Astyanax mexicanus: one gene and its partner. The protein of the gene in region 1 interacts with the protein of each later gene in a pairwise test. Links are inferred from orthologs where the notes say so. Each region holds a gene or a part of one and is shown in the gene's direction. Other genes may lie near its edges.

The links.
Region 2: the proteins of hivep1 (region 1) and atxn1l interact in a two-hybrid assay, tested with the Homo sapiens proteins (2 studies listed by BioGRID). The link is inferred for Astyanax mexicanus from reciprocal best matches to the Homo sapiens genes HIVEP1 and ATXN1L.

What each region holds. Positions count from the first base shown.
Region 1 is NC_064410.1:63,696,843-63,713,942, forward strand, and holds the start of hivep1 (zinc finger protein 40), read left to right. Parts: upstream 1-10,590; 5' UTR 10,591-10,671; exon of another isoform or gene 10,672-10,735; intron 10,736-10,947; exon of another isoform or gene 10,948-11,130; intron 11,131-17,100.
Region 2 is NC_064423.1:38,558,978-38,576,523, reverse strand, and holds the start of atxn1l (ataxin-1-like), read left to right. Parts: upstream 1-9,327; 5' UTR 9,328-9,680; intron 9,681-13,579; 5' UTR 13,580-13,701; coding exon 13,702-14,838; intron 14,839-17,490; coding exon 17,491-17,546. Other genes in the region: hsbp1a (heat shock factor-binding protein 1a), read right to left, coding at 3,028-3,149, 5,530-5,596, 7,972-8,016. UniProt on the Homo sapiens protein: Chromatin-binding factor that repress Notch signaling in the absence of Notch intracellular domain by acting as a CBF1 corepressor. Binds to the HEY promoter and might assist, along with NCOR2, RBPJ-mediated repression.

The sequences.
Region 1 (17,100 bases):
AGAAAAAGAGAAGAGATAAGAAGAGAAAGATCAAAGGAAAAGAGAAGAGATATAAGGAGAAGAGAAGAGATAAGAGGAAAAGAGATAAGGGGAGATAAGCAGAGTACAAATAAGACGAGAAGAGATAAGAGAAAAAGAAAAGAGATAAGAAGTGAGCAGAAGAGATAAGAGGAAAAGAGAAGTGATAAAAAGAGAAGAGATCAGAGAAAAGAAGAAAGAAGAAAAGATAAGATGAAAAGAGAAGAGATACGAGGATCACAGGAAAAGAGTAGAGATAAGAGGAGAAGAGAAGAGATAAGAGGAGAAAAGATAAGGAGATAAGAAAAAAGATAAGAGGAAATAAGAAGAGATAAGAGGAGAAGAGAAGAGATAAGAGGAGAAAATAAGAGATAAGAGTAGAATAGAAGAGATAAGAGGAGAAGATAAGAAATAAGAGGAGAGATAAGAGGAGAAAAGAAGAGATAAGAGGAGAATAGAAGAGATAAGAGGAGAAGAGATAAGAGGAAAAGAGAAGAGATAAGAGGAGAAAAGAAGAGATAAGAGTAGAAGGGAAAAGATAAGAGGAGAAGAGGAGAGATAAGAGGAGAAGAGAAGAGGAGAAGAGATAAGAGGAGAAGAGAAGAGATAAGAGGAGAATATAAGAGACAAGAGAAGAGATAAGAGGAGAAGAGAAGATATAAGAGAAGAAGAGATAAGAGGAGAAGAGAAGAGATAAGAGGAGAAAAGAAGAGATAAGAGGAGAATAAAAGAGATAAGAGGAGAAAAGAAGAGATAAGAGGGGAAAGAAGAGATAAGAAGAGAAGAGACAAGAGAAGAGATAAGAGGAGAAGAGGGAGATAAGAGGAGATTAAAAAGTGATAAGTGGAGAAAGAAAGCTTTAGAATCGGCTCTAATACAGTTGTGATTTGGTTCGATTTAGGTTTTTTTTTTATATACTGAACTTTCACTATTCTACTTTACCAAAATAAACACAGTTTTTTTTAATAATATTACAGGTGTGGTCTGATTCACTGGGTTTTGCCACAAGAGGGCGTAAAAGTTTTACTCCAAAAAAGCTATATTTGGGTAGTGTTCCTCCTGGTGAGAGATGGTTAACCGTTAGGTGTTTTTATAAGGTTCTCTGTTACCTGGGCAGGTGATTCTCTGATCTTCTCAAAGCTGAAACTTCCTTATTTTTATCTCAGTTAAACTTTAATAATATCAGAAGTTATTTTGCTGCTCCTGGCGTGAGTTTGTGAGTTTGTGAGTAAGAGCTGGATGACGACAGCAGGTACGAGATGCCGGTTTGTAAACGGCAGCGGTTGAAAGTGTGACTCATATATGTGTCTGAATAAGGAGAGGGTGAGTTGTGTGCAGGCGGGAGCCGTCACACTAAAAACCTCTGAATCCAACATCTCCCCCACACTGCTGCCTCGTCCCCAACACTGCCTCGCCTCAACACCGCCTCAACACCGCTACCACACACTGCAACATCAACACATAATTAACACAGGAGAAAAGAAAAAAGGAGAAAGAGAAGAGTAGAGATATGAGGAGAAGAGAAAATTACAATATTAGAGATAAGAGGAAAAGCATAGATCAGAGAAGAGGAGATAACAGGAAAAGTAAAGAGATAAGAAGATAGGAAAATTGGAGACGAGAGGAAAAGAGAAGATAAGAGACAAGAGAAGCAATAATAAGAAAGGAAAAGAGATAAGAGTAAGCAAAATAAGAAAAGATAAAAAAAGAGATAGGAAATGAGAAGACATAAGAGGAAATGAAAAGAGGTAAAAAGAGAAGTGAAGAAAAACAAAGAGAGGAAGAGAAAAGAAGATAAGAGATAAGAGGACATGATAAAAGATTAAAGTAAAAAAGAAGAGATTAGAAAAGAGATAGGAAATATAGAAAGAAGAGATAAGAGGAGGAGATCAGAGAAAAAGAGAAGAGATAAGAGGACAAGAGAACAGATAAGAGAAGAAGAGATAAGTGGAGATAAAAAGAGAGGATGAGAAAAGATAAGAGGAAATGAGAAAAGATAAAAGGAAAAGAGATAGGAAATAAGAAGACATAAGAGGAAATGAAAAGAGGCAAAAAGAGAAGTGAAGAAAAACAAAGAGAGGAAGAGAAAAGAATGGAAGAGATAAGAGGAAATGAGAAGAGATAACAGAAAATGAAAAAAGATAAAAGTAAAAAAAGAAGAGATTAGAAAAGAGATAGGAAAAGAGAAGACATAAGAGGAAATGAAAAGAGGTAAAAAGAGAAGTGAAGAAAAACAAAGAGAGGAAGAGAAAAGAAGATAAGAGATAAGAGGACATGATAAAAGATTAAAGTAAAAAAGAAGAGATTACAACCCCTGGCAAAAAGTATGGAATCACCAGTCTTGGATGAGCACTCCTTCAGACATTTCATTCTGTAAAACAAACTCTGATCAAAAACATGATACAATAATAAGGTCATTCCAAAGTGCAACTTGTTGGCTTTCAGGAACACTCAAAGAAATGAAGAAAAAACATTGTGGAAGTCAGTGAATGTTACTTTTATTGACCAACCACAGGGAAAAAAATATGGAATCACTCAATTCTGAGGAAAAAAGTATGGAATCATGAAAAACAGATAAACAAAAGATGATTCAAAATACATCACTAGTATTTAGTTGCACCACCTTTGGCTTTTATAACGGCTTTCAGTCTCTGAGGCATGGACTTGATGAGTGACAAACAGTATTCTGCATCAATTTGGTGCCAACTCTCTTTGATAGCAGTTGCCAGATCAGCTTTGCAGGTCGGAGCCTTCTTGTGGACCATTTTTTTCAATTTCCACCACAGGTTTTCAATTGGATTGAGATCTGGACTATTTGCAGGCCATGACATCGACTGAATGTGTCTTTCTCCAAGGAATGCCTTCACAGTTTTTGCCCTATGGCACGATGCATTGTCATCTTGGAAAATTATTTCATTATCTCCAAACATCTGTTCAATTGAAGGGATGAGAAAACTGTCCAAAATGTCAATGTAAACTTGTGCATTGATAGAAGACTTAACCACAGTCATCTCCCCAGTGCCTTTGCCTGACATGCAGCCCCATATCATCAAGGACTGTGGAAATTTGGTTGTTTTCTTCAGACAGGCCTCTTCATAAATCTCACTGGAACGGCACCAAACAAAAGTTCCAGCATCATCACCTTGTCCAATGCAGATTCTTGACTCATCACTGAAGATAACTTTCATCCAGTCATCCACAGTCCATGATTGCCTCTCCTTAGCCCACTGCAGTCTTGTTCTTTTATGTTTAGGTGTCAATGATGGTTTTCTTTTAGCTTTCCTGTATTGAAATCCCATTTCCTTTAGGCGATTTCTTACGGTTCGGTCACATACATTGGCTCCAGCTTCTTCCCATTTATGCTTCATCTGTTTAGTTGTACTCTTTCGGTTTTCAAGACAAATGGCCTTAAGTTGCTTGTCTTGACGCTTTGATGTCTTTCTCGGTCTACCAGTACGCTTGGCTTTAACAACCATTCCATGCTGTTTGTATTTGGTCCATATCTTGGATACAGCTGACTGTGAACAGCCCACATCTTTAGCAACCATGCGTGAAGAGTTACCTTCTTCAAGAAGTTTCACAATCCTCTCTTTTGTTTCAAGAGACATTTCTCTTGTTGGAGCCATGGTTCTTGCCACTCTAATTCATCCAGCAGCCCTCCAAGGTGTCATGACTGCAGGTGTTTTTAACTGCAGACTAACGAGCAGATCTAATCTGAGGCAGGTGTCCATTTAGGGAAAGGAAATTGACTGAGTGTGTCCTTATTTTCTACCTTCAATTTGAGTGATTCCATACTTTTTTCCTCGGAATTGAGTGATTCCATATTTTTTTCCCCGTGGTTGGTCAATAAAAGTAACATTCACTGACTTCCACAATGTTTTTTCTTCATTTCTTTGAGTGTTCCTGAAAGCCAACAAGTTGCACTTTGGAATGACCTTATTATTGTATCATGTTTTTGATCAGAGTTTGTTTTACAGAATGAAATGTCTGAAGGAGTGCTCATCCAAGACTGGTGATTCCATACTTTTTGCCAGGGGTTGTAGAAAAGAGATAGGAGATATAAAAAGAAGAGATAAGAGGAGGAGATCAGAGAAAAAGAGATGAGATAAGAAAAAAGAGAAGAGATAAAAGGACAAGAGAACAGATAAAAGAAGAATAGATAAGTGGAGATAAAGAAGAGATAGGAGAAGAAAAGATAAAAGGAAATTAGAAAAGATAAGAGGAAAAGAGATAAGAGAAGAGAAAATGCAAAGACATAAGAGGAAATTAAAATAGGTAAGAAGAGAAGTGAAGAAAAACAAAAAGAGAAAGAGAAGAGAAGATAAGAGATAATGAGAAGAGATAACAGAAAATGAAAAAAGATTAAAGTAAAAAAGAAGAGATAAGAAAAGAGATAGGAAAGAGAAGAGAAAATGAGAAGACATAAGAGGAAATGGAAAGAGGTAAAAAGAGAAGTGAAGAAAACAAAGAGAGAAAGAGAAAAGAAGATAAGAGATAAGAGGACATGATAAAGTAAAAAAGTAAAAAAAAAAGTAAAAAAGAAGAGATTAGAAAAGAGATAGGAAATATAGAAAGAGGAGATAAGAGGAGGAGATCAGAGAAAAAGAGAAGAGATAAGAGGACAAGAGAACAGATAAGAGAAGAAGAGATAAGTGGAGATAAAAAGAGAGGATGAGAAAAGATAAGAGGAAATGAGAAAAGATAAGAGGAAAAGAGATAGGAAAGGAGAAGAGAAGAGAAAATGCAAAGACATAAGAGGAAATTAAAAGAGGTAAGAAGAGAAGTGAAGAAAAACAAAGAGAGGAAGAGAAAAGAAGATAAGAGATAACAGAAAATGAGAAAAGATAAAAGTAAAAAAGAAGTGATTAGAAAAGAGAGGAAATATGAAGAGATAAGAGGAAGCGAGAAGAGATAAGAGAAGTGAAGAAAAAAGAGAGAAAAAGAAAAGATGGGAAGAGAAGAGAAGAGATGAGATAAGAGGAAATGAAAAGATAAGAGCAACATATAATAGCTGAGTGAGGAGAAGTGATTAGAGAAAAAGAGAAGAGATACAAAGAAAAAATGAAGAAGGGAGGAGATAAGAGGAAAAAGAATAGGAAACAAAAAGAGATAAGAAGAGATAAGAGCAAAAGAGAAGAGATAAGAAGAGAAGAGATGAAAAGATGAATTGAAGAGCAAACAAAAACAGATAAGAAGAGAAAAGATAAAAAGAGAAAAGGAAAGAAGAGAAGAGATAAGAGTAAACAAAAAGAAACAAGAGGAGAAAGTGAGAGGAAAAGAGAAGAGATAAGACAAAAGAGACGGGATAAAAGGAGAAGAGACAGAAGAAGAAATAAAAGGACAAGAGAAGAGAAGAGTAAACAAGAAGAGATAAGGAAAACAGTAGAGAACAAGGGAGAAACAAATAGAGGAAAAGAAAAGATGAAAAGAGAAAAGATAAGAGAAAAAGAGAAGAATAAGAAAAGAAATGTGAGAATAAACAATAGAAATATGAGAAGAGAACAGTAAAGATAAGATAAAAGGAAGTGAGAAGATAAGAGTAACAGTTTCTGAGTTTTGGATAAAGGGTTTCAGATGGTACTTGTGGGTAGTGTCCCTCTTGGTGAGAGATCATTATCTGCTTAAAACAGCTGTAAAACAGGCCATATTTAAACTCTCAGAACTGTTACATCACAGTCCTGACTCATTATGCTCATATTGACAAATTGACAAAGCTCATCTGGTTCTTGTTTTGAAGGAGAACAGCAGCGTTTTGAGGTTCTCGATTTATCTTTTACCCCGGGTTTGCCGTATCGTATCGTACCCAATAATATCGGCAACATTTTTTAATATGGTGAACGATATTATACCCTGAAATATTGTGGAATATCGCCCACCCCTAATTATCACATCAAGATACTACTTTATTACTGTTGATGATTTTGGCTTACAGCCAATGAAAACCTAAAATTAGAATATTATATTATAAGACCAATTGGTGCTTTTGGCAGTGTGGGCAGTGTGCCAAGTCCTGCTGGAAAATGAAATCCTCATCTCCATAAAAGTTGTCAGTAGCAGAGAGAACACCAGCAGATGACATGGCTCTACAAACCATTGTGAAGATGTGGATTTCATTTTCCAGCAGGACTTGGCACTCTGCCCACACCGCCAAAAGTACCAATTGGTCTTGTATATTTTGTATTGTAATTTTCTGAGACAATGATAGTTGAAGTTTGGGTTTATTGTCCATGTCTGCACTGATGCTGATAAAAAAAATTGCCTTTAAGTCGTGAAAAAGTCATGAAAAGAACCCTTTAAAAAACAAAATCCAAATTATTTTTTAATTATTTGGCAACATTTTTTAATATGGTGAACAATAGATATTATACCCTGAAATATGGTGCCATATCTCCCACCCCTAATTACCTAATTACAACATCAGGGTTCTACTTTTTTACTGTTTTTATCAAAAGAAAAATTCACACTGTTCTCATTATTTCCCATTATATATCTACTGAAGACAGATTATATCTGTACAGTATCATTTATTTTACGTTAATCCTGGATATATGGAGATATATGGAGATATTTGGAGTGCATTATTATTATTAGTATCATGATGATTCTGGATCAATGACTTCTGTTACTGTAAATCTATAAATCTGATAAAATTCTTGTATTTTTTAAATATCTCAATTAGGGATGTGCCATATCATATCATATATCATATGTATGCAATAATACAATTTAATTTTCTTTTTGTTGCAGTAGTGTATTCTTTTTATTTATTTTATTTATTGATTTTATTTTTGTATTTTGAGTATCGTTATTGCAAAAATACCATGAAATAGCGTGATATTATTTTATTATTGTATCGCCCACCCCTATCTTTTACACAAATTAAATCTGATTACTTAACTAAACCCATATAAAGCGATTTTTAACCAGCCCTGAGTGTTGTTTATGGTTCGTGCTCTGGAATGCAGAGACCCAGAGGAGATGAATCTCCTGCAGGTGATGACGTTTGTTTGGTGTCCCTGTCTCCTGCACGTATAGACCTCCCCTATGGACTCGCGGAGTGAGACAGACGGAACAGACAGTCACCTCCACCGGGCTCATTAAAACACTATTTATATTCTCAGGACCGGAATGCTCTGACCTTTTTCATTAGCTGCGTGTCACAGCCGAGCGCAGACGCCCGAGACATGCTGTTAGACGCATTCGGCTGCATTACTCGCCATCGCCCGGATCCTGAGGAGGACTGTGGCATGCTGTATCAATCAGATACTCCCTGAATCTATCCCTAGTTCTGCGTGAGAAAATACAACTCTGGGTAAAAATAAGAGAGCACTTAAAAATTTGGATTTTCTCTGATTTTACCAAATTAAAAACCTCTGGAATAAAATCAAGAGGAAGATGGATGATCACAAACCATCAAACCACCAAACTGAACTGCTTGATTTTTTTTTTTTGCACCAGGAGCAAAGCAGCATAAAGTTATCCAAAAGCAGTGTGTAAGACTGGTGGAGGAGAACATGATGCCAAGATGCATGAAAACATATGAATTTGTTTTCTTTGCATTATTTGAGGTCTGAAAGCTCTGCATCTTTTTTTTTTGTTATTTCAGCCATTTCTCATTTTCTGCAAATAAAAAATAAATGCTCTAAATGACAATATTTTATTTGGAATTTGGGAGAAATGTTGTCTGTAGTTTATAGAATAAAACAACAATGTTCATTTTACTCAAACATAAACCTATAAATAGCAAAATCAGAGAAACTGATTCAGAAACTGAAGTGCTCTCTTCATTTTTTCCAGAGCTGTATGATACTAGTGCATCTCAAAGAATTAGAATATCTACATTGAAAAGTTACTTTATTTCAGCAATTCAGTTGAAAATGTGAAACCTATATATTATATAGATGTATTTAACACAGAGTGATCTATTTTAAACGTTTATTTATTTTATTGTTCAAAAAATCTGAAAATTAGAATATTATATAATAAAGACCAGTTGGTACTTTTGGAGCAGTGTGGGCAGTGTGCCAAGTCCTGCTGGAAAATGAAATCTGCATCTCCATAAAAGTTGTTTTCAGCAGAGGGAAGCTGTAAGATATGAAGTGCTGTAAGATTTTGTGGGAAAACAAAACTGCACTGACTTTAGACTTGATAATAAAACACAGTGGACTAACTGTGTTATATCTATATAGACTTATATATAGATATAGGGGCTCGGCTTTAATGCAAGCTTCTGATTGGCTGCAGTGTAGAGCCCCTTTCTAGAGTAAGGGTCAAAGTGTCAGTGTTGGGAAATTGTTGGCCGCAAATGGCCCGCGGGCCGTAGTTTGGACACCCCTGTCGTAGAGGAAAGTGTGAATCATCAGTTTAGCTCAAATCTAGATTAAGCTGTGATATATTGGAATTGTAATATATAAAAAATATGAATTAAACTAAATTATTTTAAACAAAGTCAACATTTTTTCAACATCATTTATGTCAGTAGGATTTACTTAATTAAGAACCTTAAAATCCTAATAGGCAATATTGATTATTAGGTTATAATAGTGATAATAGTTATTTTAGTGTTATTTTATCCTTAATTTAATGTTATTTTATCGTTACTTTAGTGTTATTTTGTTGCTATTTTAATGATATTTAAATGCTATTTTATCGTTATTTAAATGTTATTTTAGTGTTATTTTATTGTTTTAGTGTTATTTTACAGTTATTTTAGTGTTATATATCTTTATTTTAGCGTTATATAATCTTTATTTTAAAGTTATTTTATCGTCATATTATCGTTATTTTATCGTTATTTCATGGTTATATTATTGTTATTTTACTCTTAGATTATCATTATTTTATTGTTATTTTATCATAATTTTATCATTATTTTATTGTTAGATTATCGTTATTTTATAGTCGGATCATCGTAATTTTTTTCTTTCGTTATTTCACTGTTATAATTAGTGTTATTTTATCGTAATTTTATCATTAGATTATCGCTATTTTATCGCTATTTTATCGTTATATTATCTTTATTTTATTGTTATATTATCATTATTTCATGGTTATATTATTGTTATTTTATTGTTAGATTATCGTTATTTTATAGTTATTTTAGTATTCTTTTATTATTTTTTTGTTGTTATTTTATCGTTGGATCATTGTAATTTTTTTTCGTTATTTTACGTTGTAATTAGCGTTATTTTATCGTTAGATTATCGTTATTTTATCGTTATATTCCGGGCAGTGTGCTCCAGCAGCCCCGCCGCTCTCCGGCCGCTCTCCCCGGGCTGGGCGCTCCTCTCCCCGGGCTGGGCTCCGCGCGGGCCGCCGCTGTTCGCCATTGTTCAGCGGGTCTGTGAGGGAAAGCCCAGCGCGAGCCGAGGGGCACAACGTGACCTGACAACGAGGAACCTCCGGGAAAACCGTCAGCCCTAAAGTATGCGGAGAGGGGTCCACCGAGGGGGAACCGCGCGCAGCGACACGCACAGACACACACACACAGCGGCGGTTAATCCACTGTACTGTAATCAGCGCTGTAGATTTATTTTATTATTATTAATTTATTTACTGACTGTAACACAGACTGTACAGAGCAGACACTGTAAACAAGAGCAGCTCTATAACTACACCTTTTTAGTGCAGTCTTTAATAGTGATGATTTGGCAAAATGCCATTTAAACTAAAGTTAGAGACAGTCAAGACAGTCTAGTTAGTTGAAATAATAAATTAAATATGTACATTTTATCTCTACGGTGTAATCAGCTTTATTAAAAATATGTTGCAACTTATCTTTCCAAAAAATCTAAATACCAACATTAAAAAAAAAATAAATACAAATAAATGTCCTGTTCTATGTCTGTTTTATAAATGTTCTATTAAATTTTTAGATTGTTTTTTATTGTTAGACTAACCTTATATTATTATTAGATTTGCATTACTTTATCATTATTTTATCACTAGATTAGTTTTTTCACCGCTATTTTATTGTTAGAATAGTGTTATTTTATCCTTAGATCACTGTTTTTTATTATTAGATTAGTGTTATTTCATTATTATTATTTTATTGATTTATTGTTTGATTATCAGTTTTTATCATATAATTACCGTTTTATATCATTAGATTACTGTTTTTTATTGTTATATTATAATTATTTTATTTTTATAAAAAAAATACATATTTTTGGATTAGCATTATTTTTGCATTATTTTATCGCAAGATCAGCATTATTTTATCGTTAGTTTACCATTTTTTTATTGTTAGATTAGCCTTATTAATTGTTACCATTTTTTATCACTATAGTTATTTTTGCAATATTTTATCGCAAGATTAGCATTATTAAATTATTATATTACCATCTTTGGTACATCTTTGTTTTATATATTATTATTATTATTATTATTATTATTAATTACAGTTCTGTTTTACTTCAGTTTTATAACATTTGCGTTGATTGAAGGATGTGTTTTATCTGTTTGGGGTTAATGTAATGCTGTCGGTGTTGTCGGCCGTCGCGGGCCCCCCCCGCGGTCGCTTCCCCCGGTCAGGGGGCGGAGACGGGACCCCCGCTGACGTCAGAGGGCCTGTCGGTTTCCTGCAATAGAAAGTGAGCGAGGGTAAAAAAAAAAAAACAGAGCTTCCCTGCGCTGGATGTGTTTATGATACAGGTACGTGTTCCCTCAGCGCGCGCGGGCACCTGTACGCACCTGGCGCCTGCGAGCACGCACACAGGTAAACAGGTAAACCGCGAGCTTGTTAGTACGCTAGAGTGACGTAACGCGCCGCCCGTGGTTCGTGGTGCTGGCGGCGGCGGCTCGTGTGTGTTTGTGCGCCCGCTCCGCCGTTGAAAACGCGCAGTGTTTGTTTTACGTTATTAACGCGCGCTTAACGTTTTCCCGGTACCGCGCTCCGGGGGGTTCGGCGGTGGCCAGGTGAGGGCTGGCGCGCGCTCCCGAACCCGGGCCGTGTTTTGTGGCTCACCGGAACGCCTCCGTTTCCTCTGTTTTGGAGTAGACGTCTGCAGCATGTTAATGTGCTCTGTGTGTGTGTGTGTGTAATGTTTATCAAGCCTGCAGCAGAGCTCGCGAGCTGTTGAAGAAGACACCCTGATGACGGTAGATAGATAGGTAAGCTAAGCTCGTGATTAACGCGGAACGCAGCGCGCGGACGGCGTTTATACGTGGTTTTGGTCGGTAGGGAGGAAGCGTGTTTTCGGCGTCCTGTTGCGGAGGACTCGCAGGGGTTTTCCCGGCTCCTCCCTCCACCACCTCCTCCTCCTCCTCCTCCTCCTCTACCGCCGCCGCTGCTCCACCCGGTCATGCCTTTCTGTCTGCATGTATGTTCACTCAGAACGTTTACACTGTTGCAGTAGCGCGAGACACTGTTACAGGGGGTTGCTACGTTGTTGCACTAGCTCGTTACACTGTTAGCAGGGCTTGATACAGTGCTCCAGTGGGTGGAAACATTGTTGCAGGGGGGAGTGTACACTGGGACACTGTTACTCTGGGTGGCTACAGTGTTCCATGGGCTTGATGCACTGTTACAGGGTTTGCTACATTGTTAAATTAGATCAATAAACTGTTACAGGGGTTGCTACATTGTTAAATTAGATCAATAAACTGTTACAGGGTTTGCTACATTGTTAAATTAGATCAATAAACTGTTACAGGGGGTTGCTACATTGTTAAATTAGATCAATAAACTGTTACAGGGGGTTGCTACATTGTTAAATTAGATCAATAAACTGTTACAGGGGGTTGCTACATTGTTAAATTAGATCAATAAACTGTTACAGGGGGTTGTTACATTGTTAAATTAGATCAATAAACTGTTACAGGGGGTTGCTACATTGTTAAATTAGATCAATAAACTGTTACAGGGGGTTGCTACATTGTTAAATTAGATCAATAAACTGTTACAGGGGTTGCTACATTGTTAAATTAGATAAATAAACTGTTACAGGGTTTGCTACATTATTAAATTAGATCAATAAACTGTTACAGGGTTTGCTACATTATTAAATTAGATAAATAAACTGTTACAGGGTTTGCTACATTGTTACACTAGCTCGTTACACTGTTAGCAGGGCTTGATACAGTGCTCCAGTGGGTGGAAACATTGTTGCAGGGGGGAGTGTACACTGGTGCATTGTTACTCTGGGTTGCTACAGTGTTTCATGAGCTTGATACATTGTTACAGGCAGTTGCTACACTGTTGCACTAGCTCAGGACACTGTTAGCAGGGCTTGATACAGTGCTTCAGTGCGTGGAAACATTGTTGCAGGGGCAGTGTACACTGTTACTCTGGGTTGCTACAGTGAGCTTGATACACTGTTACAGGAGTTGCTACATTGTTAAATTAAAGCAACCAATAAACCGATAGCAGGGCCTGATAAAGTGCTCCAGGGGGTTGAAACAATGTTGCAGTAGCTTGATATGTTGTTGCAGACGCATGGTACATTGTTAGAAGGGGTTGCTACATTGTTTCACTTGCTCAGTACACTTTTAGCATGGCTTAATATAGTGCTCCAGTGGAAACACTGTTGCAGGAGCATGGCACGTTGTTGCTCTGAGTTGCTACTGTGTTTCATGGGCTTGATACACTGTTACAGGGGTTGCTATATTGTTACATTAGCTCGCTACACTGTCAGCAGGGTTTGATACAGTGCTACAGGGGGTTGGAACACTGTTGCAGTAGCTTGAAATGTTGTTGCAGGGTCATGCTACACTGTTACAGGGGTGGAAACATTGTTGCAGGGGCTGATGCACTGTTACAGGGGTTGCTACATTGTTACACTAGCTCGATGCTCTATTACTCTGGGTTGAAACACTGTTGCTGAAACTCTATATTAGTGCAGGGGCATGGCACACTTTTACAGAGGTTGCTACATTGTTACACTAGCTTGATAAACTGTTACAGGGTTTGCTACATTGTTGCAGATGCTTTGTACACTGTTACTCTGGGTTGCTACGGTATTCTATGAGCTTTATACATTGTTAAAGGCATTTGCTACAGTGTTATGGGGGTTTATACATTGTTGCAGATGCATGATACACTCTTACAGGTGGTTGATACACTTACCATGGCTCGATGCACAGAAGCTCAATACACTGTAACTTTTGGTTGAAAAACTGTTACAGGGGTTTGCTACATTGTTGCAGATGGCAGATACACTGTCCCCATGGCTTAAAACATTGTTATATGGGTTGCTAAATTGTTACACTAGCTTGATACACTGTTACCAGGGCATTTCTACACTGTTACAGTGGCTTGCTAGCTACATGCCTGGTTCATAGGGCTTGAAACACTGTTACTCTAGGTTGATAAAGTTTAATGCATTGTCTCATGCAGTTGCTACATTGTTACACTAGTCGATATACTGTTACCAGGGCTTGATACACAGTTATTCTGGGTTGAAACACTGTTACAGGGTTTGCTACGTTGTTACACTAGCTTGATACACTGTTTCCAGAACTTGAAACACTGTTACAGATAGTGCTAAATTGTACCAAGCCCTGGTAACAGTATATCGAGCTAGTGTAAAACTGTTACAGGGGGTTGCTACTTTGTTTCACTAAGTTGATACACTGTTATCAGGGCTTGATACAGTGTTCCTGGGTTTGCTCTATTTTTTTGCAGACAATTGATACACTGTTACTCTGGTTTGCTACATACACTGATGCTCACATACACTGGATTACACTGTTACAGTAGTTTGCTACATTTGTCCAGGGGGTTGATAAACTGTTACAGGTAATTAATAAACCACAGGGGTAACTCGTTACATTGTATTTTCCCCAGTTTCCCCACAGTGAAGATTTATAACAGATTTTCTTATCTTATTTGTTATAGGAGTTTGATAACGCTGCGTTGTTTGTGGGGGTTGATGCACACATTTATTTATAATTTTATGTACTAGAGTGTGTCTAACCTTTTGAGGTTGCGTGCACATGTGGTGCCTCCTAGCAGCAGCAGTATCAGCAGCAGCGCAGCGTGCATGCATGCTAGTGTGCATGCTAGCTGTGTGATCTAGCCAGCTAATCGTACAGCTGACATGCACAAGCTGTAGCCTATGCAAAACGTGCATGCATGCACAGGAGCATGCACAGGAGCATGCTCGTGCATCCCTGTATTTACGTGTGTGAGGGGTGCAGGAGGGTGACGTCATTGCTGTAGCATTGCACATGCCCCGTGCACTCATAGTAACTACAGTATTATGTAATATGTGTAGAGGAGGCTGCGTGGTGCAGGATGGCGTTTTTTGGGCGAGGCGGTGGGCGAGCAGCAGCAGTGAGCCCCCCTCTCGCGCTCCCTCTCATTCTTTTGCTTTTCTTTCTCTCGAGCTCTCCTTTTCTCTGCTTGTAGATAAGGCAATAGATGTGCACCAAACATGCAGCTCCAAAAACAAAGCCAAACATTTTATTGTATATACACATAGCTCCACTGATTGTATATATTTTACACTGTAGTTATATATAATAATTACAGACTGTAGTTCTGTATGTGTTTCACTGTATATTTTATTATTACCCTCCTCCTTTTACCTTATTAATATTATTATTATTATTATTTGGGTTGTGGGTGGTTATTCTCAGCACTGCAGTGATTAGCACTGATTAGCATGGTGGTGGTGTTTAGGGCTGGGTATCGCAAAAAAAAAAAACAAATTTGATACTGATACGGTACCTTGAAACACTGTTGTAAGGTTTGCTCCATTGTTACACTAGCTCAATACGCTGTTACTCTGGGTTGCTACATTGTTACACTAGATTGATACACTGTTACTCTGGGTTGCTACATTGTTACATTATCTTGATACACTGTTACACTGGGTTGCTACATTGTTGCTCCTGCTTGATACACTGTTACTCTGGGTTGCTACATTGTTACATTATCTTGATACACTGTTACACTGGGTTGATACACTGTTACACTAGCTCAATACACTGTTACTCTGGGTTGCTACATTGTTACACTAGCTCGATACACTGTTACTCTGGGTTGCTACATTGTTACATTATCTTGATACACTGTTACACTGGGTTGATACACTGTTACACTAGCTCAATACGCTGTTACTCTGGGTTGCTACATTGTTACACTAGCTTGATACACTGTTACTCTGGGTTGCTACATTGTTACACTAGCTCGATACACTGTTACTCTGGGTTGCTACATTGTTGCTCCTGCTTGATACACTGTTACTCTGGGTTGCTACATTGTTACACTAGCTTGATACACTGTTACTCTGGGTTGCTACATTGTTACACTAGATTGATACACTGTTACTCTGGGTTGCTACGTTGTTACATTAGCTCGATACACTGTTACTCTGGGTTGCTACATTGTTACACTAGCTCGATACACTGTTACTCTGGGTTGCTACATTGTTACATTATCTTGATACACTGTTACACTGGGTTGATACTGTTACACTAGCTCAATACGCTGTTACTCTGGGTTGCTACATTGTTACACTAGCTCGATACACTGTTACTCTGGGTTGCTACATTGTTGCTCCTGCTTGATACACTGTTACTCTGGGTTGCTACATTGTTACATTATCTTGATACACTGTTACACTGGGTTGATACACTGTTACACTAGCTTGATACACTGTTACACTGGGTTGATACACTGTTACACTAGCTTGATACACTGTTACTCTGGGTTGCTACATTGTTACACTAGCTTGATACACTGTTACTCTGGGTTGCTACATTGTTACACTAGCTTGATACACTGTTACTCTGGGTTGCTACATTGTTACACTAGCTTGATACACTGTTACTCTGGGTTGCTACATTGTTACACTAGATTGATACACTGTTACTCTGGGTTGCTACATTGTTACACTAGATTGATACACTGTTACTCTGGGTTGCTACATTGTTACACTAGCTTGATACACTGTTACTCTGGGTTGCTACATTGTTACACTAGATTGATACACTGTTACTCTGGGTTGCTACATTGTTACACTAGATTGATACACTGTTACTCTGGGTTGCTACATTGTTACACTAGCTTGATACACTGTTACTCTGGGTTGCTACATTGTTACACTAGATTGATACACTGTTACTCTGGGTTGCTACATTGTTACATTATCTTGATACACTGTTACACTGGGTTGATACACTGTTACACTAGCTTGATACACTGTTACTCTGGGTTGAAACATTGTTACAGGGTGTTGCTTCATTGTTGCAGACAGTATATACACTGTTCCAATGGCTTAAAACACTGTTATAATGTTTGCTACATTGTTACACTGGCTTGATACACTGTTACAAAAGCTTGGTTCAGTGTTCCAGGGCATTGAAACACTGTTACAGTGGTTAGTTAGTTACATACAATGTTACTCTAGGTTGATACACAGGTCCTTAAAAAGTCTTAAATTAAATTTTGGATAATTAAGGTTTTAAGGTATTGTAGGTATTTTTTATCGTAGGTTTTTTAATTCCGGTGGGAAAGCACATATTTACATGAGCGTCAAGTTACTGGGGAGAGTAATAAGGTAGGCGTAGACCTAGCTAACATTAGCGGTAAGCTAGCTTATGTTACTGGGAAGAGAACTAAGTTTAGTGGAGAGCTAGCTAACTATGGCTGCAAGCTAGCTAATGAGCTAATGTTACTGGGGGAGTACTAAGGAGAGTACTAACATTAGCAGTGAGCTAGCTAACATACAATATTAGCGACAAGTTAGCTACATTAACGGGTCAAGAACTAGGATAAGAGCTAGCTAACATTAGCTGCAAGCTAGCTAATGTTACTAGGGGGAGAACTAAGGTTAGCGGAGTTAACATTAGCAGCGAGCTAGCTAACATACAAATGTTAGCGACAAGTTAGCTACATTAATGGGGAGAGAACAAGGGTTAGTGGAGAGCTAGCTAACATTAGCTGCAAGCTAGCTAATGAGCTAATGTTACTGGGGGGGTACTAAGGAGAGTACTAACATTAGCAGCGAGCTAGCTAACATACAAATGTTAGCAACAAGTTAGCTACATTAATGGGGCGAGAACTAGGGTTAGAGTTAGCTAACATTAGCTGCAAGCTAGCTAATGTTACTAAGGAGAGAACTAAGTTTAGCGGAG
Region 2 (17,546 bases), on another chromosome or scaffold:
ATATAACCTTATGTGTCTATACCTTTAAATATCAACACATTTATTAGTACAATAGTTTATATATTTATTTAAATCATACTTTAAAAAACAGTTACTATACTGGGCATTATTTTACATCTCTCAGTTCATTAGATTACATTAGTCTTCTTTCTGATGGTTTTACTACTTTTTATTAATAACCAGGCAGAAGATCTCTCATGAACAGCACCAGTGGAAATGTATGTGTGGAGTCACAGTAGATCAGGTGTCTGTTAAGCACGGTCTTTGCTGTTTTCTTTGTTGGTGCAGAAAGTGCAGCAAAAAGGAATATAAGGGAGAGAGAGAGAGATAAAGTACAGTACTACATAATAATAATTATAATTCCATGTGTTCTTTCGTAGTTCTGACGTCTTCATTATTTTAATCTACAATGTAGAAACCAATGGAAATAAAGAATGGACACAGAATGAGAAGATGTCCAAACTTTTGACTGGTACTGTAGATGGAGAGATAGATGGATAAATACATTGGCAGATATAACATATCAGAAAGAAGAGTGGAAAGAGTGATGGAGAGCATTAAAATGAATAAGAAAGGTATCACAGTCTGCTTAACGTCTGTGTATGTGTAGCACTGTATGTAGTAGAAGGCAATGAAAGATCATGGTGTTCAGGTGTATATAGGTAGGTGGGTACAGGTGTACAGGTGAGTGGGCTTAGTAGGGTTTACACCTCCAGGCTGTATGTTAATGAAACATATGACAATATATCTCCACTGATCACATTTAATACTGTGTAGTTCTATAATAATTACAGACTGTAGTCTGTAGTAATTAGTGTTAGTGTGTGTTGTGCTGTTACAGCGAGTGAATCAGATACAGCAGTGCTGCTGGAGTTTTTAAACACTGTGTTTAATCATTCACTGTCCTCCACTCTATTACTCGATTATTACTTAAAGCTTTTTACTTTTTAAGTTAAAGTGTAAAAGTACTGGTTTCAAAACTACCTAAAGTATAAAAGTAAAAGTAATATAAAGGGGAAAATGCCATTAAAAATAAAAGCTTAGGCCACATTTTTCTAAAAGCCATAATGACATTAACAATACAATAAAATGTTAACATTGATATATTTGGGATGCTCTCGGCTCCCTCTTTCAGCTGCATATGTACAGGGGTTGGACAATGAAACTGAAACACCTGGTTTTAGAGCACAATAATTGATTGTGGTGACGGACAGTTCTGGTGGAAACAGGAGAGTTGAGGTGCACATTGAATTCTGCCGTGATTTGATCAGCCGTGGTTTTATGTTTTTTGGATACAATCCGGGTTGGCACCCGAACATCCCTTTCAGACAGCTTCCTCTTACAGCGTCCACAGTTAATCCTGTTGGATGTGGGTGGTCCTTCTTGGTGGTATGCTGACATTACCCTGGATACCGTGGCTCTTGATGCATCACAAAGTCTTGCTGTCTTGGTCACAGATGCGTCAGCAAGACGTGCACCAACAATTTCTCCTCTTTTGATCTCTGCTATGTCACCCATAATGTTGTGTGCATTGTAATATTTAGAGCAGAACTGTGCTCTTACCCTGCTAATTGAACCTTCACACTCTGCTCTTACTGGTGCAATGTGCAATTAATGAAGATTGGCCACCAGGCTGCTCCAATTTATCCATGAATCCTCCCACACTAAAATGACAGGTTTTTCAGTTTCATTGTCCAAACCCTGTATTTTAGTACAATGTAAATAGCGTATTTTTTTACACTATAAGGTGCACTTAAAATTGACAGTGTGCTTTATAATCTGGTGTGTCTTATGTATGAATTCTACAAGTCAGGTATTAAGGAGCAGTAAATCCACTTCGCTGAAGTACAGCGTTATACGGGTTAGAGTTTTCAGTGAAGTCTCTCCAGAAGTACTAGCATTAGGTCAGCGCTAGCTCTTTTGCTGTTCAAAGGCGAGTATATCAGACTGTAGCTTGCTGCTAACCCCGGCTAGCACTGCTGGAGCAGCATTAGCATTAGCTGCTAACTGCTTTAAGCGCTAGCTCTTTCTTATGGAGTATTTATACCTTGTCACTTATACCTTGACACCAGCACAACACACACTAACACCTCATATACCACCATATATATAGTGTTTTGAAATTACAGTAATATTTAGAATAGTTCTTTATGTTTTATTCTGAACCATTTTTTATGACTTCTATCACTCCCATGCCCAGGTCCACTAACTAACCAGTTCAAAATGTTTCACCTCTGGACTGAAATGCAACATAAACACATTTTTAATGGAATTAGTCACTATATATGTTTGCATAGTTATAGATGTTTAATTGGTCAGTGCTTTCCTGCCCAAACCCTGCAAACTCCATTACATAAACACCATGTTATTGCTGTTGAAGAAAGCTGTCTGTAACTATGCCATTCTGTGCTAAGAATGTAAAATAAATGAATAAGTGTAAAATAGTGTAAAATAACTCCATTCCATGCTTCCATTTTTTCACCTTCCACTACAGAAAGATTCATGCAGTATTTCCTCTGGTGTAATGTGGCTACTAACATGATTTAAATGAGCAGTTTAACAGGCTGGAGGTGTAAAACCCACTGCTGTCTGAGTAAAGGTCTGAAGGCGGGGGGTTAGGTGATCCTACACTGTAGAGGTTTTTAGTTAAAAAAAAAAAAAGAAAAAGAAAAACTAATTTTAGTGCAGCATTAAACAAAATCATAGCATTATGATAGCATTATAATCCATATCAAACGCTATTTACACATATGGCATACATAACCCCTTCTTTCCCCCACCCACCCCCCCAAAAAAAAACATAAAAAATAAAAATACACACACACACACACACACACACATACATACAAACATACAGTACATACATACAGACCATTATAATTAGAGAACTTTGCCACGCCTATGGAAAAGGTAGGTTCCTCTGTGTTCCTGGCGAACTGAAAAGAAAATAAATTAATTAATAAAAAAGTCAGCTAAATTTACAGTCTAAAGAAAACAATTCAATTCAGCATCAATTCCAAACCTTTATCAAGCTGTTCCCGATGCGTCACTGACTTTATTCTCCCCCTCATACTCCTCCACTCCTGCCTGAGTCATGAGGTCAGAGATGTTCTTCTCCAGGTCATCGATCCGTGTGCTCATCTCATCGAGTGTGAGCATTAAGGAGAACATCTCATATACGGTATTTAAACCCAAATAGTGATAAAGTGCATATGGCAGGAAATGCAAAGATTCATTTGGCAGATAACTATTTAGATTAAGATAAAACAATTTTATAATTGTACTTATTTTTAGAATTTTATTTTATATGTATTATTCTGCTGTTTCATTCCGTTAACTTATTATTGCATTTTACCTTTATATACAGGTAAAAAAATTGAATATCTTTGAAAAGTTGCTTTATTTCAGTAATTAAGTTAAAAATGTGAAACTCATATATTATATAGATGTATTAAACACAAAGAGTGATATATTTTAAGCCCTTATTTATTTTATTATTGATGATTATGGCTTACAGCCAATGAAACCCAAAAATCAGTCTATCAGAAAATTAGAATATGATATAAGACCAACTGGTACTTTTAGCAGTGTGGGCATTGTGCCAAGTCCTGCTGGAAAATGAAATCCACGCATCTCTATAAAAGTTGTCAGTAGCAGAGGGAAGCTGTAAGATATGAAGTGCTGTAAGATTTTGTGGGAAAACAAAACTGCACTGACTTTAGACTTGATAATAAAACACAGTGGATCAACACCAGCAGATGACAGACATGACTCTCCAAACCATCCAAGCCATAATCATCAACAATAAAAGAAATAAAGGCTTAAAATAGATCACTCTGTGTTTAATACATCTATATAATATATGAGTTTCACATTTTGAACTGAATTACTGAAATAAAGTAACTTTTCAAAACATTTTTTGTCATTTCTATTTGTTAATGAACTGATCCAGACTATGAAGGAAAACATAAGGAATCATGTAGTAACTTAAAAGTGTTAAACAAACTAAAAATACATAATTTAGGTGCTCTTATCTGGGGAGCTGTTAACTTGTGGTTTCTGAGGCTGGTAACTCTGATAAACTCATCCTGTGCAATAGAGGTAACCCTTGCGCTTTCTTTCATGGGGTGGTCCTGATGAGTGCCAGTTTCATCATAATGTTTTTTAATGGTCTTTTATTTGAGTATTTCTTGCTTCTCATAATCTGGATTAGAACATTACTCAAATATTCAGTATTCACTGTATACCTGTAACTCTACCTCTTCACTACTTTACTTTAACTGATGCTCTCAAACACTTTATTAAGAGACAAGAAATTCAAGTAATTAACTCTTGATGGGTTCAGCACAGCTGTTAACCCTAATGAATAAAAAGTAGATTAAAGTATACTAATCATTATTATGCTATAGTGCACTATAGTGTTTTTGTAGCTACATTATTATTAACCAGTATATTTAAAGAGTGCTAAAATGGAACAACTTTTTTGTACTTATTATACTTTAATTATATAAAAATAGTACTAAGGTCTTACTTAAATTGTGCTAAGTGTACTTAACTGTACTAAAATGGAACTATTTTAAATATACTTAAGTAACATTTAAACATTTAAACTACTTCATGTATGTGACCCCATATTCATATTTTAAATATGCTTACAGTAAAATTATAATACATTTAATGTGTATTACAACTGTATCACTATTACTATACAGCAAGTATATTAGAAATGTACTGAGTACAAATATGTTTCTTGTTCCTGTCTTTCGTAATAGCACACTTGTAGTATCCTTTATTAGGTATAAAAATATATTTGAATATACTGTACTGTAATGTTTAGCTTGTTACAAATATACTTTTTTTTAAATATATATATTTTAAATGTAGTAATTTAATTAACTTTTTGAAAAAGTTACATGATACATTGTACATTAATTAAACTACTGTAATAGTCGTTTTTAACACACTTTGCTAAAAAAAAAAGTACAAACGTATATTGGGAAATAAGTATTTAGTATTTAAGAAGTATACTGAATTACATTGAACTGTACATGATTTTTTTATTGTACTTTTTAAAAAGTATGATCAAAGTTTACTTTTAAACATTTAATAAAACATAATATTACTTTTAATCAAATTGAAGTAAGTACATACATCTGTTAGTATATTTACAGCATACTTATACATTTCTTAATATGTTTTATGTACAGTTAAGTATATTCATTTTTTACCAGGGAACTTAAAGCCATTCCAGGTGACTCAACCTCATAAATCTGACTGAGAGATTGTGCCCATGTAGCTGATGATGACAGGATGTAGTAACGTTTAATAGTCCACTGACTAAATTGTAGTGTAAAAACCAATATTAATCGTACCAAATATACACAATGTAAGAAACACACAAACCTTGGTGCCTCTCAGTGTGTGTGACCATTTATACTTCCATATATGCTTTTAATTCAGGCCCTAACTCTAGAGGTTTACTAGTCCTACAGAACACAAATCTCTAGTAATAAAATTAAAGCAGGATATTCCTTCCGATGATCTGGTCTGACATGGTCTGGAACTTGTCCTGCATCTGCTGCAGCAAAGTCTGCACCTAAAGAGAGACACAGAGAGTCACAGAAAGAGAAAATGTATGAATGGCCTCTCTAGGACAACTCAGCGTAACACGACGCCGGTTAAAGTCACGAACAGCAGGCACGCACAACTCCCTCACACTGAGTGTGTGTGTGGGTGTCCAGGGTCGCCATGGCTGCCCGCAGTACAGGATAGATCAAAGCAGTGTAAAGTCATGCCACGCGCCCACGCTGCAGCTGAAACCATGGAAACGAGGTATTTTAGGCGAACAAACAGAACAAATAGAGACCGGGCGAGTTAAACTCAAATACACTGCATAGCAACTGGAACTTCATTCATTTAAAATGGTAACTAAGATACAGCTTCCTCCATTCTACCGTCCAAACACACGTCTCCGTGGAGACGAGAAGCCACCCTGGTGTTGTGTCCAGTTGTGCGACCCGGCAGAACATGCTGCTGAGCTGATTCCTTAGGTTTATTAATATTAAAGCAATGATCTATGATTTTAAATGACTGAATTTCAAACATTCTATGTTATGGTGCTTTTTAAAACAACCCTTTTTTAACCTTAACTAACACCAGCCTCACAAGCCCTACGTTTACCATTAAAAATTCCTATTAAATTACAGATCTTTCTGACACAGTTTTTAATACTTCAAAAAAGCAGATTGTAAGTGTATATTTATATATGTTTTAGGCATGCGCCGATGTTGGAATTCTGGTCTGATGCTGATAACACAAGTACATATATGCAGATACACAAACTTATTACTTACAGAGAAACTAGACTAGACCCCGGTATAACTTTATAATTGATAAAAAATAAATAAAAATGAGCTTAAACAAATGGATTTTAAAGTTGTCCTACTCTAAGTAGAAAGTATTAGACTTCCTAAATTATTTACTTACTACTGCTCTAGTGCTCTACAATGTGAAATAGCTACATTATCCATATGTTGCATAATCTCTTTACCAACAATATCATGTGCAATATCATCATTTATTTACTATTTAATTGTCATTTATTACTGTCAGCCTATGTGCAAAAAATAACAGTGATCACTGCTTACTATAAGATATACTGGGGAACCAGGCTTCCTCTTATCTTAGCTTTTCTAGATCACATTTTTTTTAGTATTGTTTCATTCTCTTGTAGTTAGTGTATATATACATATATATGTATATATATTATATATTTTTTTATATTGATATATATTCCCTAACACTTCAGGGTACCACTTTAAAATAAGACTACCTTTATAAAGGGTTTATAAATGGTTTACAATTAGTTTATTAATAGTTACTAATTAGGTTGTAAATGCCTTAAAAATCATTAATAATCAGTTATAACACATACTTAGGAAGGGCAACAATGACCTGTTGTTTGCAAAATAGTGAACCCACAACATCTATATAGTTGCCCTTTCTACGTATGTGTTATAACTGATTATTAATGATTTTTAAGGCATTTACAACCTAATTAGTAACCATTAATAAACTAACTGTAAACCATTTATAAACCCTTTAAAAAGGTAGTCTTATTTTAAAGTGGTACCCACTTCTGTTCTGTCCTCTGTGATTCTGTAACACCTCAAATTTCCCCTGCTGTGGGATTAATAAAGGCTTATATTATCTCAAGTATCAATTTGAAATATTGGCCATAATGACTGATACGATGTAATATAGATAAAGAGATATCATCGTGCATCCCTTACATTTTTTATATTTTTAATATTAAAACTACACATATTCTAAATGCACCTAGTCTACATTACAGATCTTGAATTAGCATTTCAGTACTAGTCAGACTAAATTTATAATACATTTTATATTAGTTAAAAGTAATTATTAATTAGATACCTGCAAATGCAGTTTTTAATCGTTTTAAATAGTAAAAAAAGCAACATTACATCCCAGATATCATGTGATTCTGGTAATGTACTGTAGGTAAACTAGTCTGATTTCATTGCTGGTACAAATTTCATATATGATATATAAGCCATATAAGACAGTTTCTACTAGTAAACACTTTACTGCATTATTGACACCTAGAAATAGATTTTAAACAATATAATCTGAGTTTGAACTGGTGTCACCATCGCTGGAATCATTTTGGACTAAAATAATAGCTTATTAAAGCTTTTATTATATCAGAATATCCACATTTACTGTTTTATTTAGGTGAATACATTAGTAAATAGGCACTATACTGTATCTAGGACGGTTTGAACAAGATACTAGGTAGTTTATCAGTTAAAATAGCTAAATAAGAAGCTATACAGATATTTATTTCTTTATTTTCAGATGCTAAAACCCAGTAAACCCAGTAAAATATCCCCAGAAGCGGCGGAATCCCCGCAGCCCTGTGCGCCTGCGCAGTAAAGCCGCACTCACCACCACGGTCAGGTCCTGCGCTGATTTGGGCTCGGTCTCAGACATGCTGTAAATCTGCGGTGTGTTTAATAAAACGCCGGATTAAAAAACCCGCTGTCCGTCAGAACCCGCTCTCTAATTCTGTTCCTCTGGTCCGGAGAGCGCTGCCCACACACTGTACTGTACTCTGACAACAGCAGGGAAAGCCGGCTCTGATTGGTGGAGAGAGAAGACAGCCCGCAGACACACCGCCACCTACAGGCGCGGAGGGGCACGCTCCTGGTGGTGTTAGTCGATTAATAAAAACAAATAATCGAATTAATCGTAACGACATTATGTGATTAATCGCGATTAAGACTTCAGATTAAGCTTTAACATTTAAATGTAAAGAATTGGCTAATTCTTTATATTTTGGGGATATTTCACTTCTGGGGATATTTCACTGGGTTTACGTGGTTTTAGCAGCTAAAAATAAAAAAAATAAATGTGTATATAGCTACGTATTTAGCTATTTTAACCGATGAACTACCTAGTTACCTGTTCAAACCGTACTAGATACAAAAAGGTGTGAATTTACTAATGTATTTACGTATGTATTTGAGAATCTTTGGCCATGCATTACAGATTTTTTTATATGATGTCCCATCACAGGCTCTATAGATCGCTGCTAAGAATATAAGCTATAAACACACGCTACGACTTATATTTATGTAAGATAAAGATCAAATAATACAATCCTTTATTAGCCCTACAGCAGGGTAATCTACAGTGTTACAGCAGCAGTAAAAACAAAGCACACAGAAGCAGAGAGAAAGTATAGCATGGGCTGCTAAGACAATGAGCTAAAATCTATGACATATATTATATATATTTTATATATTTATATAAGATAAAGAACAAATAAGATAAGGGGCAATCTATAGTGTTACAGCAGCAGTGAAAACAAAGCACACAGAAGCAGAAAAAAGTATTAATAGGGCATGGAAACGTATTGAATTTTAAGGTGTGGAAACGAAGTCCTGGCCATATAAGTCTTCCCCACGACTTAATTATTCTGTTCCCACACCTTAAATAGAAGTGGCCACGCATTATTTATTTTTTTACATTATGTCACCTGTGGGGGTTTCCATAGATCCCTGCTAAAGAAAAGGATTTAAAATATATAGCTTACTATAGGTTGGAAACAAGATAATTAAGTCCTGGGCTTATATGTCGTCCCCACGACTTAGTTATCTTGTTTCCACTCTTAAAAAAATAAAGATAGAGAACAAATCTTGACTAGTTAGAGTATGTTTGTCTGGATGACCAGCTTTTTTTTTACTGGATAGTTTAGCAGCGAGGTCGTACTCACGAATTATCGCGTGTGTGTGTGTGCGTGCGTGCGTGTGTTTGGATTAGCGCTGAGGTCAGAAGCCGGAGACCCCCATTGGACTTTCCCTGAGCCGCACGCTGTTGTAAACTCCTAAATCAGATTACTATACAGAATGCGCATTAGATGGTGAAGCGGGTTTCCGATCCGGATTATCTGTAGATCTGTGAATCTGCACCGCGCGGCTCCCGGAGCTCAGCGCAGCCCTGCTGTCCTGACATCATCCGGGCGCGCCGCTGGGGTTTGGGCCGCTGGCCTGTGGACTGGGCAGAGATCCGCAGCCCTGATTCAGCGCGGCTCTATCATCGGGACTCCCCCACAGCATGCAGCCGGACCGCGGGCCGCTCCACCACATGCGGGGGTAAGTGAGGGCGGGGGACGCGGCGCGGTACCGGCGGGAAACGGCTCTCCGCGGCGGGGGAGAGGCGGTTAGCCGCGTTAGCAGCGGGCGGCTAACGGTAGGGCTCGCGCGGAGCCCCTCGGTAATGTCCAGCAGTGAGATTTTATAGTTTAGAGAGGGTTTAGCTTTAATTTCAGGCTTTTGGAGTTAATAATTCAGTGTTTTAGAGAATAAATATATATTTCTGTTTAAGATTAATGTGTAATTAATCAGTGTATGGCTGTAGTATTTAGGATTTGTACTGTTTATGAAGGCTAGTTAAAGGTTTCCTGTGCTATCTATGCTGTTAGCTAACCTGGCTAATTTAACCTAGCATTGGGTTAACTGGCTTCATTTACTCATATTTACAAATTTATACAAATATTTAAATATTTAATTACTTTATGGGCTATTTCGCCAAATGGGTGCCATTTGCTTGTTGAAACCCTTTCAAATTAAACTTATGTGACATTTAAAAAGCATGTTTTCTCTCAAAAAGTCTTTAATTTAAAGAAATAGTTGACTGCATGTTCAAATAATTGATACTTTTGACAAACAAATTCATATATATACATGCACATTGTATTTTTCTAAAATATACAAAGCTATTTTTATCTTTTCAAGAAGACCCAAACCTCAAATTAATCAAATGTATTATCATGCAATTTATTTAACAAATAGATACATGACAAAACAAACAGAATTGGAAAAAAACAGGTTACAGTTCTGTTACCTGTTACTGGCACTCACTCCTGTTACTCTTTATGCTATAAGTAACAGAAATGAGTGATTAATCAGTGTAGAGCTAAAGTATTGAGAATTTTTATTGTTTACTAAGTCTAGCTAAATGTTTCCTGTGCTATTTATCCGGTTAGCTAACCTAACCTATTTACAAATTAATACAAATGTTTTATGTTTTTAATAATTTATATTTATCTTTACATTGCGAATAAAAGCTGAAATAATCCATGTAGACTATGAAGGAATACATAAGGAGTTATTCATTTATCTAGTAAACCAAAAAGTGTTTAAAACAAACCAAAATAATCTTATCCTGTGCTTAAGATAAAAGTATTGGTCTTCATTTTCTGTGGCGGTCCTGATGAGAGCCAGTTTCATCATAACGTTTGATGGTTTTTCAAAGTTCTTGAAATTTCTCAGATTGTCGGGCCTTTGTTTCTCAAAGTATTTTTTTGTTATACTTAGTTGGGTAGTTTATCTAAGTGGACTGGGAGATTGGGGTTAAATCCTGGTCTGGGTGATTGAATGCGGTGCTACACCAGTAAGAGTCCTTGGGCAAGACTCCTAACAAACACTCCATTGGTCCACTTCTGTAATAGAAATAATCTCATAAGTCCTTTTGAATAAAAGTGTTAGCTAAATGCCGTAAATGTAAGTGTATGTTCACACAGTTTGTTTACACATTACAATTTACAAATTACAAATTATTAGTCAAAAGTTTTGACATTCCTTTAATGTTTTCTTTTATTTTTTGTACATTGTAAATGAATAACTGACCATGAAGGGAACTTAAACATTACCTTAAGATAAACCGCTAATATCTTAAATATGTACAGATCAATAATTAGAAAAAAGGCACGTTATAATTATAAATATATAATGTATAATTATATATATTTTTTGCAACATTGCTCATTCATGTTTCCAGCAGCGGCAGCACTAGCTCTGTCTCTGCCAGGTTAGAGCAATATAGACAATATAGAAGAGTAAAATTTCTCCAACAGCTTTAAACACAGGAATGGTATTGGCCCTTGGCAGACATGACCATCCATTAAAAAGTGCTTTTCCACAAGTAATTTTGAAACCTAAACTTGTGTAAATTCCACACACTGACCTTAATTACTTAAACAAACTGTTTTTTTCTTTAAAAATGTCAGAAAATGGATTATATCATTACTCAAATAGCCATATGCACTGTATATCAACTATACCTCTTCACAACTTTACAACTGATGCTCTCAAATGCAATAAGAGGCAAGAAATTCAAGTAGTTAACTCTTGACAGGCTGTTGATAAGGTGTGTCCAATCGTTTGACTGGTACTGTATATCTTGTATTGTACAATATATTGTAATGTTTTTAATGCTTGGTTAAAAACCTTCAAGTCCAGGTTTCCTCATTTAGTTGAACATTATCATATTAACAGATTTGAGCTGAAATTTGCCATATATATATATATCAGCTTATCAGAAGTTAATAATTTTTAATGTTTAACCTTAGAAACGCATTCTGAGGTTCTGAGGATGAACAAACATTGAGTGTGAGGTGGCAGAAAGAAAAGGGCCATGTGCGCCAAGCCTCTGACCAATTCTTGCTTAATGCCTCGTTTTATTCACATCTTGATTAAATCTGGGCATCGTGAAAACATCATGTGACAAGGCAATGCAATTAGGATGAGCAAAATATATCCTGAGTCGTAATATTTGAGGTTGAAATTCTCTTGTTGCTATGATACTTGGTTGCGGCTTCTTCACAGCGTGCCCTGTTTCAGTATGGTATGGTGCTCCGTTAGCAGTGTAAATATAGTGTGACGGGCGTATTGAAACAAAATGTGGTGGGTCTGGATTTAATGTAATTGTGTAAGATTGTTTTTCTGTGTAGCAGTGAGAAAAAGCCATTAGGGAACTAAGCTGCTGCAGTATTATGTATAGCGCTGGGCAGGTAATTGAATTAATTCTGTTAATTGAGGTACTTTTTAATGCAGATTCCAAAAAAGACAATGGGGATTGTACATTTTGACATATATATATATATATATATATATATAAGCTGCCAGAGGGAATCTCAGTAGATAGGGTTGTGCTTTTGTCAGAAACCTGTAAATATGTGTATCGTATTTTTCAGATTATAAGGCGCACCAAAATATAAGGCATACTATTATTGGAACGTCTGTTTTCTGGTCTATTTTCTGGTATATTATCATTCATAATTACATGGCGCATAGATTTCCAATATTTTGTCTAAGGGTGCATTTTTAGTGAAGTTTCTGAAATCTCACCCTTATAATGCTGGACTTCAGTGAAGTGGCTTTACTGCTCCTTAATACCTGACTGGTAGAATTTATAATAAATGTGTACCAAATTATAAGGTGCACTGTCGATTTTTGGAAAAAATTAAAGGATTTTAAGTGCGCTGTATAGTCCGAAAAATATGGTATGTATAAAAAAAAAATAGGCAGTGATTTTAATATTTTTCACTTTTCCTAATATTTAACTGTAATATAATGTCTCTGCTTAAAATTGTTTAAATATATACTTACTTGCATGGTTTTGACACTTCAAAATAAGGGTTTCTAGAAAGTCATGTGAGTGTGATAGGAGCAATTTGGGAAGATGTCACCCACTTATTCTGGATGTTTATATCCTTTCAGTTAAAAATTATAATCATTCAATAAATATAATCATTTAATAACTATTAAATAACATCCTTAAATATAACTTCATTCATTCATTCATTCAATGTACGAATAAAATGATCTTTTTTTAGTTGTTACATGAGAATGAAAGTCGTAATCGAGAATTGGAAATGTTACTTGCAAATGTGTTCTTTTTAAAAGAATGTAGTTGTTTTGTTATGCTATTTCATTATCAGTATTTTAGTGGCATTTAATAGACTTTGCAAAATTGCAATTATATTGTTAATCGCAATCATTTCAGTGCCAATATATCATCCACAAAAGTTTGGCATTGTTTTAACAATATTGCCCAGCCTTTTCTGGTTTTAATGTAATTGTGTAGTAAAGTAGACAAGTGGGGAAAAAGCCATTAGAGATCTAGGTTGCTGCCACTATTATCATAAGTATGATGGTTATGATGTAATAAACCATTTATAGGCTTTTGTTTGTGTGTTTATTATGTTTAGATAATGCAATGGACGAGGTCAGCAGGAGCTTCTCAGAGCTGATTACAGGGGTGCTGTCTGTGCGGCTGTCGGGCCTCGCCCCTGCTTGCCACTAGCATCGCCCGTACCTAGCCTGGAGCGCCATGAAGCCGGCCCACGAGCGCAACCAGGAGTGCCTACCTCCGAAGAAGCGGGACCTTCCGGTTAACAATGCCACCAACACCAATACTACCACCACCACATCCAACAACAGCAGCAGCAGTAGTAGTAATAATGCAGGAGGTAGCGGGGTTGGAGGCAGCAGTGGTGGTGGAGGAGGAGGAGGTGGCAGCAGCAACAGTGGTGGTGGCAGTGGTGGCAGCAGCGAGGATGCCCCATCCTCACAGAGCTCTGGAACAGGTGGAGAACCCCAGAGTAGTGGTGAGTGGGTTCGGACTCAGCCTGGGCTCCACTACAGTGTGGAAGGACCAGAAAGCCTAGCTGGGCTGCCTGTGGATCAGTACAGCATGCTCTACAAAGTGGCCCTCCCCTCTGTCAGCTATTCTCCAACCAGCCTCCACCCTGTGCACATATCTCCTGCTGCTTACACCATTCCATCTCCGCTCCTGCAGCATCCAGGCATCCCCTACCCCCCTCTCGGCTACACCCCCATCCCGCACTCCTCTTTACAGTTCGTCAGTTCACCTTACGCCACCGCCGTTCCCTACGCTGTACCACCAGGTTTTGTCCCCAGCCCCTTAATATCCCCTCAGTCCGCAATCCCCCAGCCACACCCCGTCTCCCACCTGGTCCCCTACCCCTCAGTGATCCAGGAGGGCGTGGTCTCCTCGCCCCCGCAGCAGCAGGTGTCTACCCACGCCTACGCCAAAGTGGCGGCACCCCCTGGAGGAGGAGTTCCTCTGGTGCTGTCTTCAGAACAGGCCGCAACACAGCAGCAGCAGCAGCTAAGCGCAGTAGGGATGCTGCCGGCAGCGGAGCTCAGTCCGAGGGGAGTGCCCATGTTCTACCACCCCTCTGGCAGTGCCAGAGCTGTGCAGCTTCAGAGGGACCCCCATGGTGGTTCGCTGGAGCAGGAGAGAGAGGTGAATGGAGGAGAGAGGGAACACGGAGGCAGGGAACTCCACCAAGACGCGGTTTACACGGTCAGGAACGCACGGCCGCCTCAGGCAGCGCCCGGAGCGGCTGCACTCGAACCCCAGCAGGACAGGGGCCTGAAGAGTCGCAGGCAGGAGGGCAGAGGCTCGCCTGGGCAGCGCAGCACCCCAGACATGGACCTGGAGGTAAGACAGTCCTCGCTTAGTTTCTTTTATTTTAAATTAAAAAAAAAAACACTGAATGTTCAAATGTTCAAGTGTTTGTGGACACCCTGTCTAATAGATGCAGCAGTTCAGCAACTTCAATCTGCATGCATTACTGCTAACACAGATGCAAATACCCCCTTAACACGCTTAAAGTGTACTCCCTGTGGAGAAAAAAAAGTTTAAGAATAATTGAGGTGGTGGACCATCCTTATCAATCATCATGAAGCTTAATAACAGCTTAATGTCTGGAAAGAAATCCTACCGTTTGTAAAACAGTCGGATTCACAGTAAATTTCTGCGACTGGTTTACTGCTGTACTTCAGCACAAACCCACGTTCCGAAGTATAATCCAGTGTCTGAGGCAAGCTCTGTGTCGTCTAACTTCTTTTTATCCATATGATGAAACACATAGTTTCAGTTAATGTATGTTTCACTATTGGTATTAAGTCATAATTGTGTGGTATTGTGACAACACCATTTATTACAGTTCTAAAAAAGGAAACCGAAAATGTTATATCCAATTACTGGATTAATCAAATGAATTTTCAGTAGAATACTTGATTACTAACATATTCAATATTTGCAGCCCTGATTCACAGCAATGCCTTTAATAATGAAATGTAGTCTTCAATGGACATTAGAGACAGTTACTGCAACAAAACCAGGATAAACTCTTTTAATATACCATTGTTTCCATTGAAATTAAAGTAATTAAACTGCTTTTCCCCCTTTTTACTGCCATTTTCCTGTTAGCCATGAGATTATGAATACTTTTAATTTTAAGCTATATTAATAGCTATATTTTAGTTTCTGTTTCCTTTGTTGGGTTTCAGTGATGTGAAGTGTTTGATGGTTCAATATTTTGTGACCATTGAGTGCAATCAACGAAAAACATCCAAATCATTCTAGGTCCACAATTTTTTGCTATGGCAGGAGCACCAAAAGATTCTGTGACTTCTTGGTGTTTTAAAAAACATTTTAGGAATGTCTAGAAAGCATTGGTTCTCAAACTTGTCTCCAATGTTTGAATGAATTAAATACATTTATTTCACCGTTTTGGTGTTCTATAAAACATGTTTAAAAGGTTTTTCAAAGCATTGGTCAATATTTAGCTCCATAATTATGTGATATTGCTGTATTTTGCAGTGTGTTCATTTCTTATTCTTTAAAAATCCAAATTCTGATCAATTCTGATAAATCAAAATCTGGCCTTTCAGTAGGTTTCTTTAGATCATTTTGAGAACCAATGGCTTGAGATGGATGGTTTCCTAAACATCTGTGTTTTTTGACCCCACTTCCGTTCTCAATTTGCCATCATCATTGACCTGGTAATGGCATGACTGGTATGAGTGTATCAGTCACAAGTTTCACACCACGGGATGCTGTTGTTTAGTGTGCAGATGGTATTATCACCATAAGGCAGGAATAATACGTTTACAACATGCTCATTTATTGGTTAAAACTGTGAGAAATTCTTTATTTATATCAAACCACATGTCTTCATTCAACATTAGTTAATGAGAGTCTCTGCCACCTTTTCTTAACAGTTTTAACCCCATTCCTTTAAATCAGTATTGCAGCATGCGGTGTTGTACTCCACTTCCTTCCTGTATTAGCTGTAGTTTGGCTGTGTTGGTGATTGAGTAACAGGCAGTCAGACGCTAACTTCTTAGAAATGGTCAGAGATAGCTTTTTCTGATTTATTGTGGGTTTAAACTGCCATAGGGAATCGGATGTGAGCAGGAAGTAGTACTCTAGTAGAGTTAGAGGGGAGAGATCATAAATCTGCCTGTAATCTGTACTGTAGTGAATTCTAAACTTGTATTCATCTTAAATAAAGTGGAAAAGCTTTATTTTGGAGGAGTGCTCCTTAAAAATGAGGTCTGCCAATTTATCGTACATTATTTGGACATAATTGTTCTCCCATTGTGCCATGTATGTGTATATTTCCATAAGATAGCCCATTAACCTGATTGAGATTAGTTTTATTTTTTATTTACTTATATTTATTATATTTACTTATATTTATTATATTTTATTTACTTATTTATAGATATTTAGAGATGTTTCATGTTCTAATTGAAGTGTCTCAATATTCTTAATAATGAAATGAACTCATTATCTTAAAAAGGGCACTATTATACTACTATATTATTATCAAAAGGGTCCAGTGCTCTAAAGCGCTGCTACTATGTCCAGTCGATCACTGGTTTGAATCCTGGTCATGCAGCTTGCCATCAGCTGCTGGAGCTGATGACATTATCTCTGTCCCAATTATTTCTGGGACAGAAATATACTATACCTGTAAATCATTTTTTTTCAGATATCTTCAGGTCAAAGATTGGATAGTCTTGATCAGGGTGTGAAACATGGATTCGGGATAAATCGGGGGATTATTATTATGTTTTGTTACTGTATCTGTATCTGTCATATTTTATTGCATATGTGTCATACGAAGCATTAACTTTTTTTTTTTAATTTCTTAAAAAAATAAAAAATGCTTCTAAATATAAAAAAATATTTCACATTTCTGCAAAGATAGATTGTTGTGAAAAGTAATTTGTCTGCTTAAAAACATCAGAAAGTTCTAATAGTAATTCATTTATATATGTGTATATATATTTTTTGCAGGTCCAGCAGGTGGTGGGGCGGTTAGCCTCGCCGGTCCACGGTCGCAGAGAGGCGTC